2 linked regions of the Alligator mississippiensis genome follow. The protein of the gene in region 2 interacts with the protein of the main gene of each other region in a pairwise test. Links are inferred from orthologs where the notes say so. Each region holds a gene or a part of one and is shown on either strand. Other genes may lie near its edges.

Region 1 (7,822 bases), on a different chromosome or scaffold from region 2:
GCTGCGTCCCCAGAACACTACAGGTGCCTTTGTGGGGGGGGCACGATGAGGGGCCATACTGCTTGTTGGGGGCTGCTCTTAGCCCCCTCATCTACTCAGGGGCCTTGTATTGCAGGTTAACCCTTTCCTTGCTGCCTTTAAATAGGGGCTTCCTCTGCACCCCTCTCGGTGCTGATTGTGGGGGGGAGGCAGGGCGGAGGCGTTGTTGGGGGAGCTTTGTTTCCTGGGTGGGTTTATTGGGGTTCAGGCTGGGGGAGATTCCAAAGCTCCCCCCCCGCCGGCTGAATAAACTCGGTGAGGATCTCTGTGGCTCTGTGGTGGCTCCCAGTGCCGTGACACAGTGGGGGGCTCCCCTCAGCAATGGGGCCCCCAGTGAGGGCAGAGCTAGTTTTGGGGTGTCTTCCCCCCCAGCTGGCTTTCTCAAAAGCATTGGTGGCCTTGAGGGGCCCGACTAGCCCACCTTCTTCTTGTCGGACGGCCCAGCAGCTGAGGGGGCTTTTGTTGGGGGTCCGCTGGCCCCTGTCCCTGTCCGGCCTCCCCAGGCAGTCTCAAGGGCATGCAGCTCTGCTGGGGGGCGCTCAACCTGGAAGCGCAGCACCCAGGGGCTCTGCAGCAGCTCTAAGGTGCTGAAGCGCCGGGCTGCTTCCCGCAGTAGGTGCTGGATCAGGTCCTATGGGGGATGGGGGGCAGTAAGAGGGCACCCCTGGTGTGGGGGGTACCCCCTGCCTCACCCCCTTAAGGACCTGGATCTGTTCTACTCTCCCATACACCCTGCTGGCCCCCCAGAGCCCTTTGCCCGATTTCGTGCCCTGAGCACTCCCTTACTGCCCCCCAACACACACACTCTCCCAGTTCCCCATGCAGGATTTCCTGCCCCCTGACTGTGGTGGGTACCTTGCAGTCCTCGGGCACTGAGGGCTGGGCGGGGAAGACGACATCACGCTGGGTGTCACGCAGTAGGCGCTTGAGGTTGGTGTCATCAAAGGGCAGGTGGGCGACCAGCAGTGTGTAAAGGATGACTCCCAGGCTCCAGACATCAGCCAGGAAGGGGTCGTAGGGCATCCCCAGCAGGATTTCAGGGCAGGCGTAGGCAAAGCTACCGCAGTAGGTCTGGCTCAGGAGCGCTGGCACAGCTGCAGCCCCGTCCCCAGCCAGGACCAGCCCAGAGCCCCCGCTCATGGCCCGTGCGAACCCGAAGTCTGACACCTTGATGTTCTCCTGCTTGTCCAGAAGCAGGTTCTCCAGCTTCAGGTCCCTGCAGGGTAATGGGCAGGGGGTGATGGGTACTTGGGCCATGGGCCTCACTGGAAGGAATGGATGGCGCACGAGATAGTGATGGGCACAGGGGCAGAGGGCAGGCCAGTAAGGGGTGCAGGGACCAGGGGGTGATGGGCATTGCAGGAATGGGCAGGGGGTATAGGCACGGGCCATGAGCATCACGGGGGTAATGGGGAACAGGGCAGTGATGGGCACTAGGGGTAGGGGGTGATGTGAGGCACCTGAGAGGGATGGGAACAAGGAGATGTGAGTTGGAAAGGGGTGATGGGGTACTGAAGCAGGGTGGGGGAGTGCACCTGGGGAGCAGAAGGTGGGTGGTGACGGGGGACCTGGGTGCTGGTGGCATGGAAATGCCGTGGGGCTGGGGGCTGCCAGGGACAGGTGGGCGCACCGGTGCACGATGCTTTTGCTGTGCAGGTAGGCCACAGCCAGCACGAGCTGGGCAAACCAGCGGCCGGCAAGGCCCTCAGCGCAGGGCCCCGCACGCTGCACCCGCTCCAGCACATCGCCACCTGGTGCCAGCTCCATGGCGATGTAGTGGCGCGACGTTGTCTCGATGGCCTGGTAGAAGATCACCAGGTGCTTGTGGCGCAGCCCCTTCATCACCTGTGGGTGATGCCCATGCACTGGGTTAGTGGGGCAGGGTCTAGCTCTGCCCTGCCTCCTGGTGGGCCTTGCCCCCTGGCTGGGCCCAATCCCTGCCCCTGGTGCAGGAACGGGTGGACCTGGATTTCGCGGGGTAGAAACTTGTTGAGGTAGTCCTCTGAGGCCTTCTTTTTGGAAATGATCTTGACGGCCACCTTGGTCTTCTGCTTGACGAAGTAGGCCTCATACACAACGCCGTAGGAGCCGTGGCCAATGACGCGGCCCAGCTGGTAGCCGTACTGGTCCATCACTGACAGGTAGGGGGTTGAGCCCCCTGCCGCCTCCGCCCCCTTGGCCCCCCGCATGGCACCAGCCCCCCGCCGCGGCTCCAGGGGCTGCGGGCCAGCGCGACTGCAGGCGGGTGCGCTGCGGGAAGCCAGTGCCCTGAGAAAGCGGATGGGCAAGGGGGGAGGTCAGCGTGCCCAGGACCCCACATAGGGGACCCCCATCAGCCCCCCGCCCAGTAGGCCATGATCCCCTCTCTCCTGCCGCCTTCCACCAATCAGCAAGGAGCCCACCTGGGCCCTGCCGCTGCCCCTGACTTGCTGACCTGGAATCACACCCCTAAGCTGGTGACATCACAGTGCTCCCCAACAATCCAGGCACCCCCATTGGCTGGAGCCAGTCACCAGGGTGATGGGGAAGGGGGGGGTCTCTTCCCCTTCTTCCTCTGGAGCATTCCCTTTGTGGGGGAGCATCATCTCAGTGGGGGGAACTGGGGGGCATTGGGGAGCTGCCCATGCCCCACATGGGGGGGTGATTTGTGGGTGTTCATATATTGGGGCCACTAGGGAATGGGGGTTCAGCTTGGGTCACCCAGAACCCCCCATTTTGGAGAGCTGCTAGAGGCCCCCCTTCCTCCTCTCAGAAATAGGGACCTGGCCCTTTAAGGCCTCCCACCGCCTTCTGTGCACAGTGCCCTTTAAGGCGGCCCCAAAGGCGGGAGAGAGGGACGGCCGCAGCGGAACTACGTCAGGGGTGGACATGAAGGCCAGGCCGGGCACTAAGGGCGGAAGTAGCGGGTGGACGTGGCTAGGGCTGACCTGGCCGTCGCCTGAAGGTCCCCACAACTTGTCGCTCTTGGTTCCGGCCGGGGGGGCAGTTCTCCGGGGAAGGGCCGACGTCCGCTTGTCGGGGGACCCTCCGGGAAGCCGAGCAGGGGGTTTGGAAGCGTCTGAGCCGGAGCAGGGGGGCGCCGGAGGTCAGGCGTTGTGACAGGCAGCCGCGAGCCAGCGAGGCCCCCAGGCTGGTCGGTGCTGCCTGGCTGGTCGGCTGCTTCTGGGGACTCCCGTCGGCTGGGCGCGGGGCCCGGGCCTCCAGGCAGCAGGCACCGCCGGGGCAGCCGGTGAGCGAGGACCCCTGGGCGGCGGGGGGCCGGGGGGCGAGACCCCAGGATGCCCCAGGCGTGGGGGGCACCTCGGGCAGGAGTGCGAGGACCCTGGTTGGCATGACCCTGGTCAATGGCACTAGCACAGACGCCTAGGCTGGGGGTGCAGGGACCCCAATTTGGCATGACCCTCCTCCAGGCACTGGGGTGGACACCTTGGGCAGGCCAGCATGGCCCCACCCCTGGGACGGGTGCTCTGGGCAGGGGTGCAAGGACCCCAGGTTGACATGACCCAGCGGTGGTCCAGGCACTGGGGGGCGGGGGCACCTTGGGCAAAGACATGAAGTCCCCGGTGGTCGCTGAGCACCTGGGATGGGGTCCTGGGGCTGCCACCGCTTTGACCCGTCTCTGCGGGCACCTGTGTTGGCGGGGCGGGGGCGGGTCGCAGGAGTCCAGGCTCTCACTCCCTCCCACTTCTCTCCAGTTTCCCAACTTCCTCAGTGCAGGCCCCATGGCATCCCACCACCCCTGCGTGCCCCTGCTGCTCCTCCTGCTGGGGACCTGCCCACTGCCGGGGTCCTCGGAGGCCCAGTACAAGCCGGGGGACCCAGTCATGCTATACGTCAACAAGGTGGGGCCCTACCACAACCCTCAGGAGACCTACCACTACTACCAGCTGCCTGTGTGCTCCCCCGAGAAGATCCGGCACAAGAGCCTGACTCTGGGGGAGGTGCTGGATGGCGACCGCATGGCCGAGTCCCTCTATCAGATCCGCTTCCGGGAGAACGTGGAGAAGAGGACCCTGTGCGAGATGAAGCTCAGCCCTGACCAGGTAGCCCCGTATGGATGCCTGGCTTCCAGCTTAGTATTGGCTGAGGCGCGGGGTGCACGCTTTGGCTAGGGGCGTGAAGACGCCAGCTTGGTGTGATCTCTGCCACCACCAAGGCACTGGGGTGGGCACCTCAGTTAGGTGTGCAAGGACCCCAGGTTGATGTGACCCTGTCCCAGCCAAGGCACTGAGGTTGACACCTTGAGTAGGGATGTGAAGGCCCAAGCTTGGTGTGACCCCTGTCATAGCCAAGGGCCTAGGGTGCATGCCTCGGATTGGGGTTCAGGGACCCCAGGATGGCTGAGATGCTGGGGTAGACTCTCAGCTAGAGGTGTAAGGACGCCAGGTGGGTGTGACCCGAACCCAGCCAAGGCACTGGTGTAGACATCTTGGGTATGGGCATGAAAACCCAAGCTCAGCGTGACCCCTGCCATGGCCAAGGCACTGGAGTGAGCTCCTCAGTTAGGGGTTCAAGGACCCTAAATTAGCATGACCCCACCATAGTTCAGGCACTGGGGTGGGCACCCCAGGCAGGGATGTGAAGACCCAAGCTCAGCGTGACCCCTGCCATGGCCAAGGCACAAATGGATGCCTTGGATAGGGGTTCAAGGACCCCAGGATGACCAAGGTGCTGGGATAGACTCTAAGATAGGGGTGCAAGGACCCCAGATTAGCATGACCCCACCATAGTTCAGGCACTGGAATGGACATCTCAGGGGTGTGAGGACCCCAGGTTGGCATGACCCCACAAGTCTTGTTCTGGGGAGCCCAGCCCAGATGCCCGGGTTCTGGGGCCACCGGGGTGGGGGGTGAGATGGGACATCTGGGCCCTAGCCAGGGGTCTGGGAGGAGAGGGAACCTGGGGCATTAGAGTGGGGGATGCTGGGAGCCCAGATGCCTGGGTCCTCACCCTGCCCCCGACAGGTGGCGCAGCTCCGCCGGGCCATCGAGGAGCTCTACTACTTCGAGTTCGTAGTGGATGACCTGCCTCTAAGGGGCTTCGTGGGCTACATGGAGGAGAGCGGGTTCCTGCCCCACAGCCACAAGGTGGGGCTCTGGACGCACCTGGACTTTCACCTGGAGTGGAACGGCAACCACATCGTCTACGCCAACGTCAGCGTGAGGGACGTCAAGCCCCGCAGCCTGGATGACCTGGCCGGGCCAGGTCCCTTCCCCATGGCCCACACCTACAGCATCCGCTGGTCAGAGACGGCCACTGAGCGCCGGGGCGAGCGGCATGGCCGGGGTGGCGACGACGCCTTCTTCCCCCGCACTTTGGAGATCCACTGGTTGTCCATCATCAACTCCATGGTTCTGGTCTTTCTCCTGGTGGGCTTCGTGGTGGTCATCCTCATGAGGGTCCTCAAGAATGACCTGGCCCGCTACAACCTAGACGAGGAGGCTTCGACCTCGGCTGCAGCCGACGACTACGACCAGGGGGACAACGGCTGGAAGATCATCCACACCGACGTCTTCCGCTTCCCGCCTTGCCGCGGCCTGCTGTGCGCTGTGTTGGGCGTGGGCAGTCAGTTCCTGGCCCTGGGCACCGGCATCATCGTCATGGCGTTGCTGGGAGTCTTCAATGTTCACCGCCACGGTGCCATCAACTCAGCCGCTATCTTGCTCTATGCCCTCACCTGCTGCGTGGCTGGCTACGTCTCCAGCCACTTCTACCGGCAGCTGGGGGGTGAGAGCTGGGTGTGGAACATCGTGCTCACCACCAGCCTTTTCTCTGGTGAGGAGAAGGCCCTCTGCCCCCTCATAGTTTTTACAGTCTTGGGGTGGGGAGGTCTGTGTGTGGGGGGCACCTCTATGACTCTGGAGGATGGTGGAGTGGACCATCTGGACCCACTTTGGGAGTCTCAATGATACCCGGGGTGGGGGTTGCAGTGCTTCACTCAGGAGTGTCCGTGATCTTTTGGTGGAGGTGGAATGGATCCATCTGGCCTCCCTTGGGGCATCTCTCTGGTTCCCAGAGGATGTGACGTGGGTCTGTCTGGCCTCCCTTGCAGGGTCTCTTTGGTCCCCATAGGATGTGCGGTTGGTCTGTGTGGTCTCTGTAGGGGTTGGTGTGTATGGTTCCTGGAGGATCTGGGATGGGTCTGTGGCCTGTCTTATGATGGCTTTCTGTGGGTCCCAAAAGATGAGGGATGGGTCTGCCTGGCCATCCTTGAGGCAACTCTGTGGTCCCTGGAGGATGTGATATGGGTTTGCCTGGCCTCCCTTGAAGGGTCTCTGTGGTCCCCAGAGGATGTGGGGTGGTGGTATCTGGTCCTCCCCTTAGCAGGGTTCCTCCATGGCCAGGGTGGGACTCTTCAGTCACTTTTGGGGCATCTCGGTGGTCTCGTCCTTGCCCTGACCCCGTCTCTCCTCACTCCCAGCCCCCTTCTTTTTGACGTGGAGCGTGGTCAACTCGGTGCACTGGGCCAATGGCTCCACACAGGCCCTGCCAGCCACCACCATCTTGTTGCTGCTGAGTGTGTGGCTGTTGGTTGGCTTCCCCCTCACCGTCATCGGGGGCATCTTCGGCAAGAACCGCGCCGGCCACTTCGACGCACCCTGTCGTACCAAGAACATCGCCCGGGAGATCCCGCCCCAGCCCTGGTACAAGTCCACCCTGGTGCACATGACCATTGGTGGCTTCCTGCCCTTCAGGTGAGCCCTCCCTTCCTGTCTGCTACCCTGCTGAGGAGAGGGAGGGGTGGGGGGGACTGCCCAGGCAGCGCCCCCCCTTCCATGATGGCCTTAGGCAGAGGCGGCCCAGGGCTCTCTGTGGTCCTCTGACCTGGGCTGGATCCTTGGAGGGTCTCCATGGTGCCCGGCTCCTCCATGTCCTGTCCCCTACACCAGTGGGCCAACTCTTGGCTTTCCTGAATGAGGATGCTTGTTGCCAGTCCCCTAGACAGGAAATAGGGATGCTATGTCATCATTTATCCCAAGGGTTTTCAGCCTTTTTTAGTCAAAGTATCTTGGTGGCCAGATGCTGACTGGCAGGGGGGTTGTGGGGGGCGGGTAGCTTGCAGCTGGATGCTGAGGGGGAAAGCGGGGGGCAGGGTGCACGGCTGGACATGGAGCAGGGAGGCAGAGATGGCACATGGGCAGGTGGGGACAGAGTGCCACCACCTCCCAGGAGTCAGGGCAGGGCGGGGAAGCTCATCGGGCTGGTATGCAGCAGCGGCCACCACATGTGAGGTTCCCCTCCCCACAGAGGGATGCCCCTGCCCTCGTTCTGCCCCGGCCCTGCTCCTGGGACGCGGCAGCACTCCGTCCTCTCCTGCCCACGCATACCCCCTAGGACCAGTCCAAGTACCCCTAGGGGTATGCATGGCCCTGGCTGACAACCCCTGATCCATCCAAGTAGGTAGGAGGGAAACAAGAAGTAGATTGTGCTGAGTAAGTGACCTCATTGTCCCTCCACACAGGAAGGAGGAAGAGGGGAAGTGGATGGTGCCAAGGAAATAGGAAGTAGACAAACAGGATGCTATCTGAAAGAATGATGATGTAACTTTCTTGGCACAATCACTTCCTGTTTCTCCCCTCCATGTTTGCTGTCACTTCCATGGCACAAACCACTTCCTGTTTGCCTTTTTCTTTCCCACACGGATGATGTCACTTCCTTGGTAGGATCACTTCTTGTTTCTCTTCTGCTTCTCCAAAGGGACAATGAAGTCTCTCTGGTGGTGGGATGATGTCACTTGCTTGGCACATTCCACTTCCTGTTTCCCCCTTGCTGCATGACAGTG
Region 2 (7,399 bases):
GCAGCACGGGCATTTATCAGCCAAGTTATCAGTTCAGGCCCCATTAGGCTAATATCCGATAAAGCAAATTTTCTTTATATTGGTACCAATCTGATATCGGACCAATATATCATTTCACTTCTATTTTCTATATAAATTACAATAATCTAAAAGGTCAGTATCGTAGGCTTTGGCCCTGCTGAAGAAAGTACCTGAAGAACGATCACATTTGATCATCTGCCCAACCTGTGAGAGATTTCATTTTAGGGCTCTTGAGCGAGTGGTGGTTGGGGGGGGGAATACAAACTCTACCAGCATTAACCCCTTCTTCCCTCTGAGACATAAAGCCAAGAAGCTACAAGGCTCAAGTGACACCCCTATTTCACCACACTAGAGCCATTATCCAGTAGGGCAGCCAAGACCTAACCTCCAGAGAGATCAGGACATTTTTCTTGCACACTTAGGAGCTCAGTGTTTTCCCAGGGCAAAATTCTCTACAAAATAGTAAAAGGGCATTAGTTTAATTGGCAAAACATGAGTAAAATTTTAAAGCAAACTAAGTTAAGCTTTAGCATTTTTGAGGGATGCCATATTTTAACCAGATATCTTGCAAGACATAAAACTAATGGTCTAGATACCTCTACTCTTCCATCAAGTAGAACGTTTTGGGGATAGAATGGAGCTGTATACCAAGGTGCAAATGTTTATGATCCTGTTTTCTATTAATAAAGGCATATTCCTCCCACCAAGATGGTGACACCTAACAACAGCATGTTGTATTTAAATTTCTATTAGCCAATCCATACTTTGAGGACAAAGTCCACTGCACACGAAAGACAATGGAAACATTAATTGATTTCAGTGGGTTTTGCACCAGGTCTCTCAATTTTAACATTGTGACGTGCTCTTCTACTGTCAAGTTCATCATGCATAAAACAAATGCCATTTGGTTTCCTTTCCAAAAGGAAAAGCAATGGAGCAGTGGCTGTCAATCTTTTTAGACTCAAGGCACCACTCCACAAATGCCAGCTCTTAGCTTTTACTCATTTTTTGAGTATGTAAAAGTAACATAAGGCAACTGTTCTGTTGCAAAGAACTCAGACAACAACAGGTCAGAATATTTGTGACACGATGGATTCCTATTTGAAATCCTTGTGTTCAATCGAGTGAATTGTGTAAATGTTTGCAGACCCAACAGCCTTAGCAGTGTTAGGTGTGCACAGTACTCTCAGCACTCTGGGATACCACAGCACACTACCAGACACAATACAGCAGAATGACAGAAAAGAGACATTCACATACTAAAATCTACCATTTTGCATGTAATTTGGCTTAGGAAAAAAGTTAAATTTGGGATTTCAGTTGTATAAATCTTCTTATAATTCAAAGGCTCCCCCATCTTGCAACTTGATCTAGTGAAGGACTCAGGACTGCAACAGCTCCAAAAAACCCCAACAAAACAAAACCCAACTGCCACCCCACCCCCAACCATCACCCAGTACCTGACGGCAGAGGAAGGTATTGTTTAATCACAAAAAACCTTCAAAACATGGTATTATAAACCTTTATTAGTTATCTCTGCAGGATTGAAAGATGCTCAGTATTTTCAGACTTCTATGCAAGACTTGGGAAACTTGAAGTGTTTTTTTTCCCTAAGAACTTTCTTCATTGCACTGGCTGATGACCAAAGATTTCCCAGGAGCAGCAAGTTGCTGGCAAGAGTTTGTGTTAAAAGGGGAGGTGGGGTAGAAATGGTTTTGAAGAGACCAGTCACATGACTTTGGTCAAACTACAAGCAAAATTCGTTTGAAACCAACTACAAACGTGACAACCATAGGTGTCAAAGAAAAACAAAACAAAACACACAAACGAGAGTGAATAATAAGACTGAAAAGACTGTGCCTTTAAAATGAACAGCACAATATTTTAATATAACGGTAGAGGAGAATGGTGAATTGCACAGCCCTAGCAAGCTGGAAATTGGGGGGGGTGGGGGGGTGGTAATTCCTAGTGTAGAGGTGGGAGAATGAAAAATAAGGGGGGGGCGGCGGGGGGGGGGCGCAAAACGTAGGAAGAGCAGGAGGGCCAGGCCTGCAGAGCCGTTTGCGGGGGGCAGGGAGGGGAAGCCCGGCAGAGCCAAGCCAGCAGCGCCAGCAGCGGGGGAGGCAGCCAGCCAGGCCCTACAGCCCTGGCCGCGTCCAGTTTGCTTTGGGGGAACAAAAAAATAATTAAATAAAAATAGGGGGGAGAGGGGAAAGAAGAAGAAGAAAAAAAAAAAAAGGCAGCAAGCAGCAGAGCAGGCGCGGGGCCGAGATGGGCCGATCCTGCCTTCCCCCGGCAGCGGCGGCGGAGGCGGCCACGGACCCGTCTCGCCGCCGCTGGATCCGCCTGTGCGGGGCCGGGAGGAGGGAGGCGGCGGCTTCGCTTTGAAAAAAAAACAAAGTAAAACGAAACAAAACAACCCCCCACCTCCCCCCAGCCCCGCGTGGCCGGGCCCCGCCGCCCGCGGGGCCGCTCTCGGGAGGGGAGCGGAGCGCAGCGGAGCAGAGCAGAGCGGAGCGGCCCCTCCGGGAGGGAGGGAGGCAGCGGCGGGCCCCGCGGCGGCGCCCCCCCGCAGCCCGAGCGGCCTCGGCCGGGCCGGGCCGGCTCCATCCGCCATTACTCTTTGTTCGCGGCGGCGGCGGCGGCGGGGCTGGTGCCGGGCTCGGCGCGGCTCCATCTTTGAGGCGGGCGATGCAGGCCGGGCCGCGCCGGGCGCCTGGCGCCGGGTCCCCGCCGGCGGCGCCCCCCCCTCGGCCGGGCTCGTCCTCCCCTTACCGGCTCCGCGCGGCTCCGTCACTGCTTTCGTTCGCGCCTCGGATCTCGCCGCAGTTTTATTCTCTCCCCCACGTAACACACCGCGTCAAACTACACCTCCGCCGCGTCACTCACACACACGGGCTCTCCCAGCCCGGCGACAGGCAGGCAGCGGCCGACTGAGGAGCGCCAGCCAGGGAGCAAGCGCCGAGCGCGCCGCGGCCCCGCGCGGAAACGCCCGAGCGCTGCCGGAAACACCCGAGCGCTGCCGAAGGCGGAAACGCCCGAAGGCCTCCCGAAGCGCTTGGGCCGGGGCGGGCCGGGCCGCGCCGCGCCGCGCGCTAGGCGGAGGGGCCCGAAGCCGCACGGAGAAAGCCGAAGCGCGGGGCGCGGGAGTCTCCGAGTGTGCACGGAGATGTCCGAAGTGCGGAGCTGTGCGGGCCCCCGCCGCCCTTGGCTCTTGCACCCCAGCCAGCCTGCCTTCCCACTGCCCTTGGACTCTCGGGGCGTCTGCAGAAAAAATTGGGTTGCCCATCACCATGCCCTAATAAAATCGGAGACCCTCCCCACAGGTTATGATGTATCAGCGGGGCTCTCATCTCTTATGTGGGGCTCAGCCCCTTCCCACCAGCTCCCCAGTAATTCAAACCCTGCTGCCAACTTCCCATGGCTCTACTGCTTGGTTGGCTCTGAAGGCATACACGGGGCTGCCCCCAGGCCCACCTGCCAGGAGCAGGCCCTGTCCCCTCACTCGGCATCTGCCGAATTGGGAAGCTGGGCTGGCAGCAGCCCGCGCCTTGGGCCTGTTTGTCATCACGTGCTTGGGGCTGCTGTAAGGCAGCCATGTTGCATTGGCAATGCGTAGGGGGTGCACACGCACCCCCTGAGATTGGCCGTGCCCCCATCAAGAGAAGCGCTGGTGGTGCTTCTGGGTTTGCCACTGGGCAACCCGCCCGCAGGCTGCTGCAGCAGGGGGAACAGCAGCCCGGCACAGCAGGCAGAGGCAGGTAGATAAGGTTTCTTCTTTGGGGGGAGATCAAGACCCCCACAGTGCAGGAGGGCAGGGGAGGAGTAGGGGCAGGGGCAAATCATTCATCCCCGCCCCTGCCCTGCTCTGTGATGCAGCTGCAGCCTGCCCTTGCTCCGCACAAAGATTGGGGGGCCGGGGGGGTGCTTGGCTCCCCAGTACCACGACTCTGCAGGACCCACTGGGCACTTTCTGGGGATGACTTTAGACAGGGTGGGGCGGGGATCCCAGGGACTCCATCTCCTCTGGCCCAGCGCCACAGCTGGCCGAACCAGTTCCAGTGCAGGAAGGCAGCCAGGGCCAGTGCAGGGCTGGGGGACAGTGGACGCCGGCACCGGTAATGACCCCTGATGTGGGGGAAGGGGTATTTGCATGGGTGCAGTGGACCCCGGCCCCGAGCCCAATCCCTGCCCAGTGCCAGCCCCAGTCTTACTCCCTCCTCCCCATGGCCCCTTCCCCCACAGACTTTTGCGTGGTGGGTAATTACAAGGAAAGCTAACTGTTGCTTTGTGTATATAAGGCCCGTGTTCCCAAAATGCATCGAATAGGCCTATTTCACAGTTCTATAGGCATAGGCAACTGGTGCCTCCTGAGTCCGGGGGGGTCACCCACAGAAGCCGGCAGCAGCAGCTTCAACAGGGCTGGTGAGCACCTGCAGATGCGGCCGGTGGTGGCGGGGATGGCCCTGTCGGGGGGGGGGGGGGGTACATGCCCCTCCCCCCCGTGCTCCCCCTACCAGTTGCGTAGGCCTATAGGTTGTTTTTAATTCATTCCAACGAAGTTATATTTGTTTTTGCTTCAATCTTAAAATGAATAATACAGCCCTAGGCCCCTAGCATATTAGTAAAGCTTCTGGTTTATTTTTAACTGGAGAAAAATGTTTTATTTTATATGTGAGGACGCACCTCGCCATCTGCACTCCCCTTTTCAAAAGTCTAGATCTGCCCATGGGCCGTGTAGACCTGTCATCTCAGGGGTATAGCAGGTCAGTCCCATGCCTTGGGCAACTGTGCGGCCTCTGGGGTAGCTGCAACAGCGCTGAACACGGTGGCGAGATCAGCCACCATTGCAGTCATGGTTATTTTTGTGCCACCTCCCTCCCCAAATTAAGGCAGCCCTTGTGGCATCTGTCTTGGTCACCTCCCCTTAAGTACACTACTATGTTCTCTAATTTCTCATTTTGTTCTTGTTCCCCAAAAATTGTTCTTGGACTCGGTCTCCTTCGTTTGCTTTTACATTCCTGATAACTTAGGTACTCTCATTTTCTGTTTCAATGCTGCTCTCTCTCTCCCCCTTTGGATATCCCTCCCTTTGTACAGCCTTTTGTATCTCCTAAAATTCCTTCTGGATATCCTTTTGCTTCCTCAAACTAAATCAGGCAGAAAGCACATATTTGAGTGCATTTACATGAAACGCTGACTGCGCAGTAGCAGAATAATCTGCGCGGTAGCGTGTCTCAGCACCAAGAGTCCTAAAAAGCTACTGTGCAGTATTATGAGGGTACTGCACAGTAGTGTCACTTAAAAGGTGTTCACTGGTGTTCCTGCGCAGTAACTCCGGTTTCTACACATTTATTTAGTACTTTTTATACTGCGTAGTAGCATTTCATGTAGACATGTCCTTAGTTTACCAAATCATCTCTGCATCCCAATATTTTTATTGCTACTGGGTGCATCTATACAAGATGCCAGAAGTACAGTAGACTAAAGCCATGCGAAAGCCATGCTAACGCATTAACGTGCAGTAGAATTAGTCTACTGAGCATTAGTATCACCCAAAAGACATGCGCCAACGCTAATGCACAGTAGCACCGATTATGGCACATTAAGTTCATACCTGTTATTACAGGTACTAATATTACCTGTTATTACCTGTTATTACATTAAGTTAGTACCTGTTATTACAGGTACTAAACTTAATGTGCCATAATTACAGCATGTTAATGCATATGTAAATGTGCCCACTGAGAATTACTTTATATCTTTAAGACAAGGTTCTTTGGGTAAATCTGATATCTTTTATTAGACCAACTTAAATAGTTGGAAAACAATTATTGTTTTCCAACTATTTAAGCTGGTCTAATAAAAGATATCAGATTCACCTAAAGAACCTTGTCTGCCTATGTCCTTAGACCAACACGGCTACAACCTACACCCCTGTTTATATCTTTAAGACTCAACAGTTAATGCAAAATCTGTCAGTAGATCTCGGCTGCCACAACAATCAACACTCTCCACTACAAAACCATCAGAATCCATGGATCAGACATATGATTATCCCAAAATGTGGAATACCTCATCCACTGCCCTCATGGAAACTATATGGGTGAAACCAGACAAAAACTGTGCAGCAAAATTAATGACCACAGAGAAAAGATAAAGGACAGAGACATTAGAACTCAGGTAGTAAGACAACATTTTTCATAGGAAAATCACTCTGCTTCTGACCTTGTAGTTCTAGTGCTCAGGGTAATTCCCCCCCAAATCTTTACAAAGTGAGTGTGTGAACAGAAATTCATCAGCCTATTGGACACTAACCACCAGGAGGCAAAGACTTAATGGCCCATTATAATTGTCCTGATACCCCTAACCCCTGCACTTCACAGGTGATAATGATCCTATTTAACAAGCTTTTGTTCCATCTGATACTTGGCTCAGTCATGTCTGCTTCTGTCTCAGTCCTGGGGAAGGGTGCTGTGATACTTGAATGCTTACCTATGGTTCTGTCAACCATACAGTTGGTCCATTAAAAAATGTCACCATAAGAATTCTTGACTCTTGAATTATTTCTCTCTTAAGAAAATGTTGGCTCTTTGCCACTTTATTTAATTCAACCTTCTCTTTGTCACTTTGAAGATCCTGCACAACTCTGTTCCAGCCACATCTAAACACCTTATGTTTTTCTCACTCTCCTCTTTGTTACTTCCACTGTCAGCTTTACCTACAATTGTATTTTGTGTTTTTCTCCATCCTCCCCAACATTGCACTGACTCTACCTTGAATAGTTTCAACAATTCTTACTTATCTTTCAAATTTCCCTTCCTTCCAAAGCCTGCTTCTGTCATTTTTTTTGCTGCTGACCTTGATTCCTGACATGCTTGTTCTTCTCTGCTCTACCTTATCCTTAACACTGGAACATAAACGCTTCTTGCACAAAATTATTCCAATGTCTTTCAGTATTTTCAGCCTTTACGATTCACTTCCCTATTTATGTTGTTATCTTTCCCATGTATAATTTTCTGATTTAGGCTATAGTCCTTCAAGATTATTCAAGAGCAAGGGCAACTGCTTTTACCTCCATCCTGAATTGGAGCTCAGGTAGTAAATCCTTTTGGCTAGGGACCTTTCTTTTTATTTTTGTAAAGCATCTTAAAAAATTAAATAGATAATAATAAAAAAAGAACGTGCCTCAAAATAATAGAAAATAATAACCGGAAGTTGTAACTGCAAAATCAGTTAGTACTCTAATAACTTGATGTAGTGCCCTGAAAGCTTAGGTCAATAGTGTTAATAGTTTTCCAACTATTTGAGTTGGTCTAATAAAAGATAATCAGCATTGGTGATGCGTAAGGGCTGCATGCGGGTGCACGTGTAGCCC

The links. The genes of interacting proteins can lie anywhere in the genome.
Region 1: the proteins of CREB1 (region 2) and TSSK4 interact in binary tests that used the Homo sapiens proteins (3 or more experiments, as listed by UniProt). The link is inferred for Alligator mississippiensis from reciprocal best matches to the Homo sapiens genes CREB1 and TSSK4.

The regions. Positions count from the first base shown.
Region 1 is NC_081830.1:7,858,902-7,866,723, reverse strand, and holds TSSK4 (testis-specific serine/threonine-protein kinase 4), read right to left. Parts: upstream 3,019-7,822; 5' UTR 2,229-3,018; coding exon 2,004-2,228; intron 1,885-2,003; coding exon 895-1,884; intron 671-894; coding exon 452-670; 3' UTR 398-451; downstream 1-397. Other genes in the region: TM9SF1 (transmembrane 9 superfamily member 1), read left to right, coding at 3,762-4,082, 5,004-5,814, 6,461-6,734. UniProt on the Homo sapiens protein: Serine/threonine kinase which is involved in male germ cell development and in mature sperm function. May be involved in the Cre/Creb signaling pathway. Phosphorylates CREB1 on 'Ser-133' in vitro and can stimulate Cre/Creb pathway in cells.
Region 2 is NC_081827.1:175,079,409-175,086,807, reverse strand, and holds the start of CREB1 (cyclic AMP-responsive element-binding protein 1), read right to left. Parts: upstream 3,003-7,399; 5' UTR 2,797-3,002; intron 1-2,796.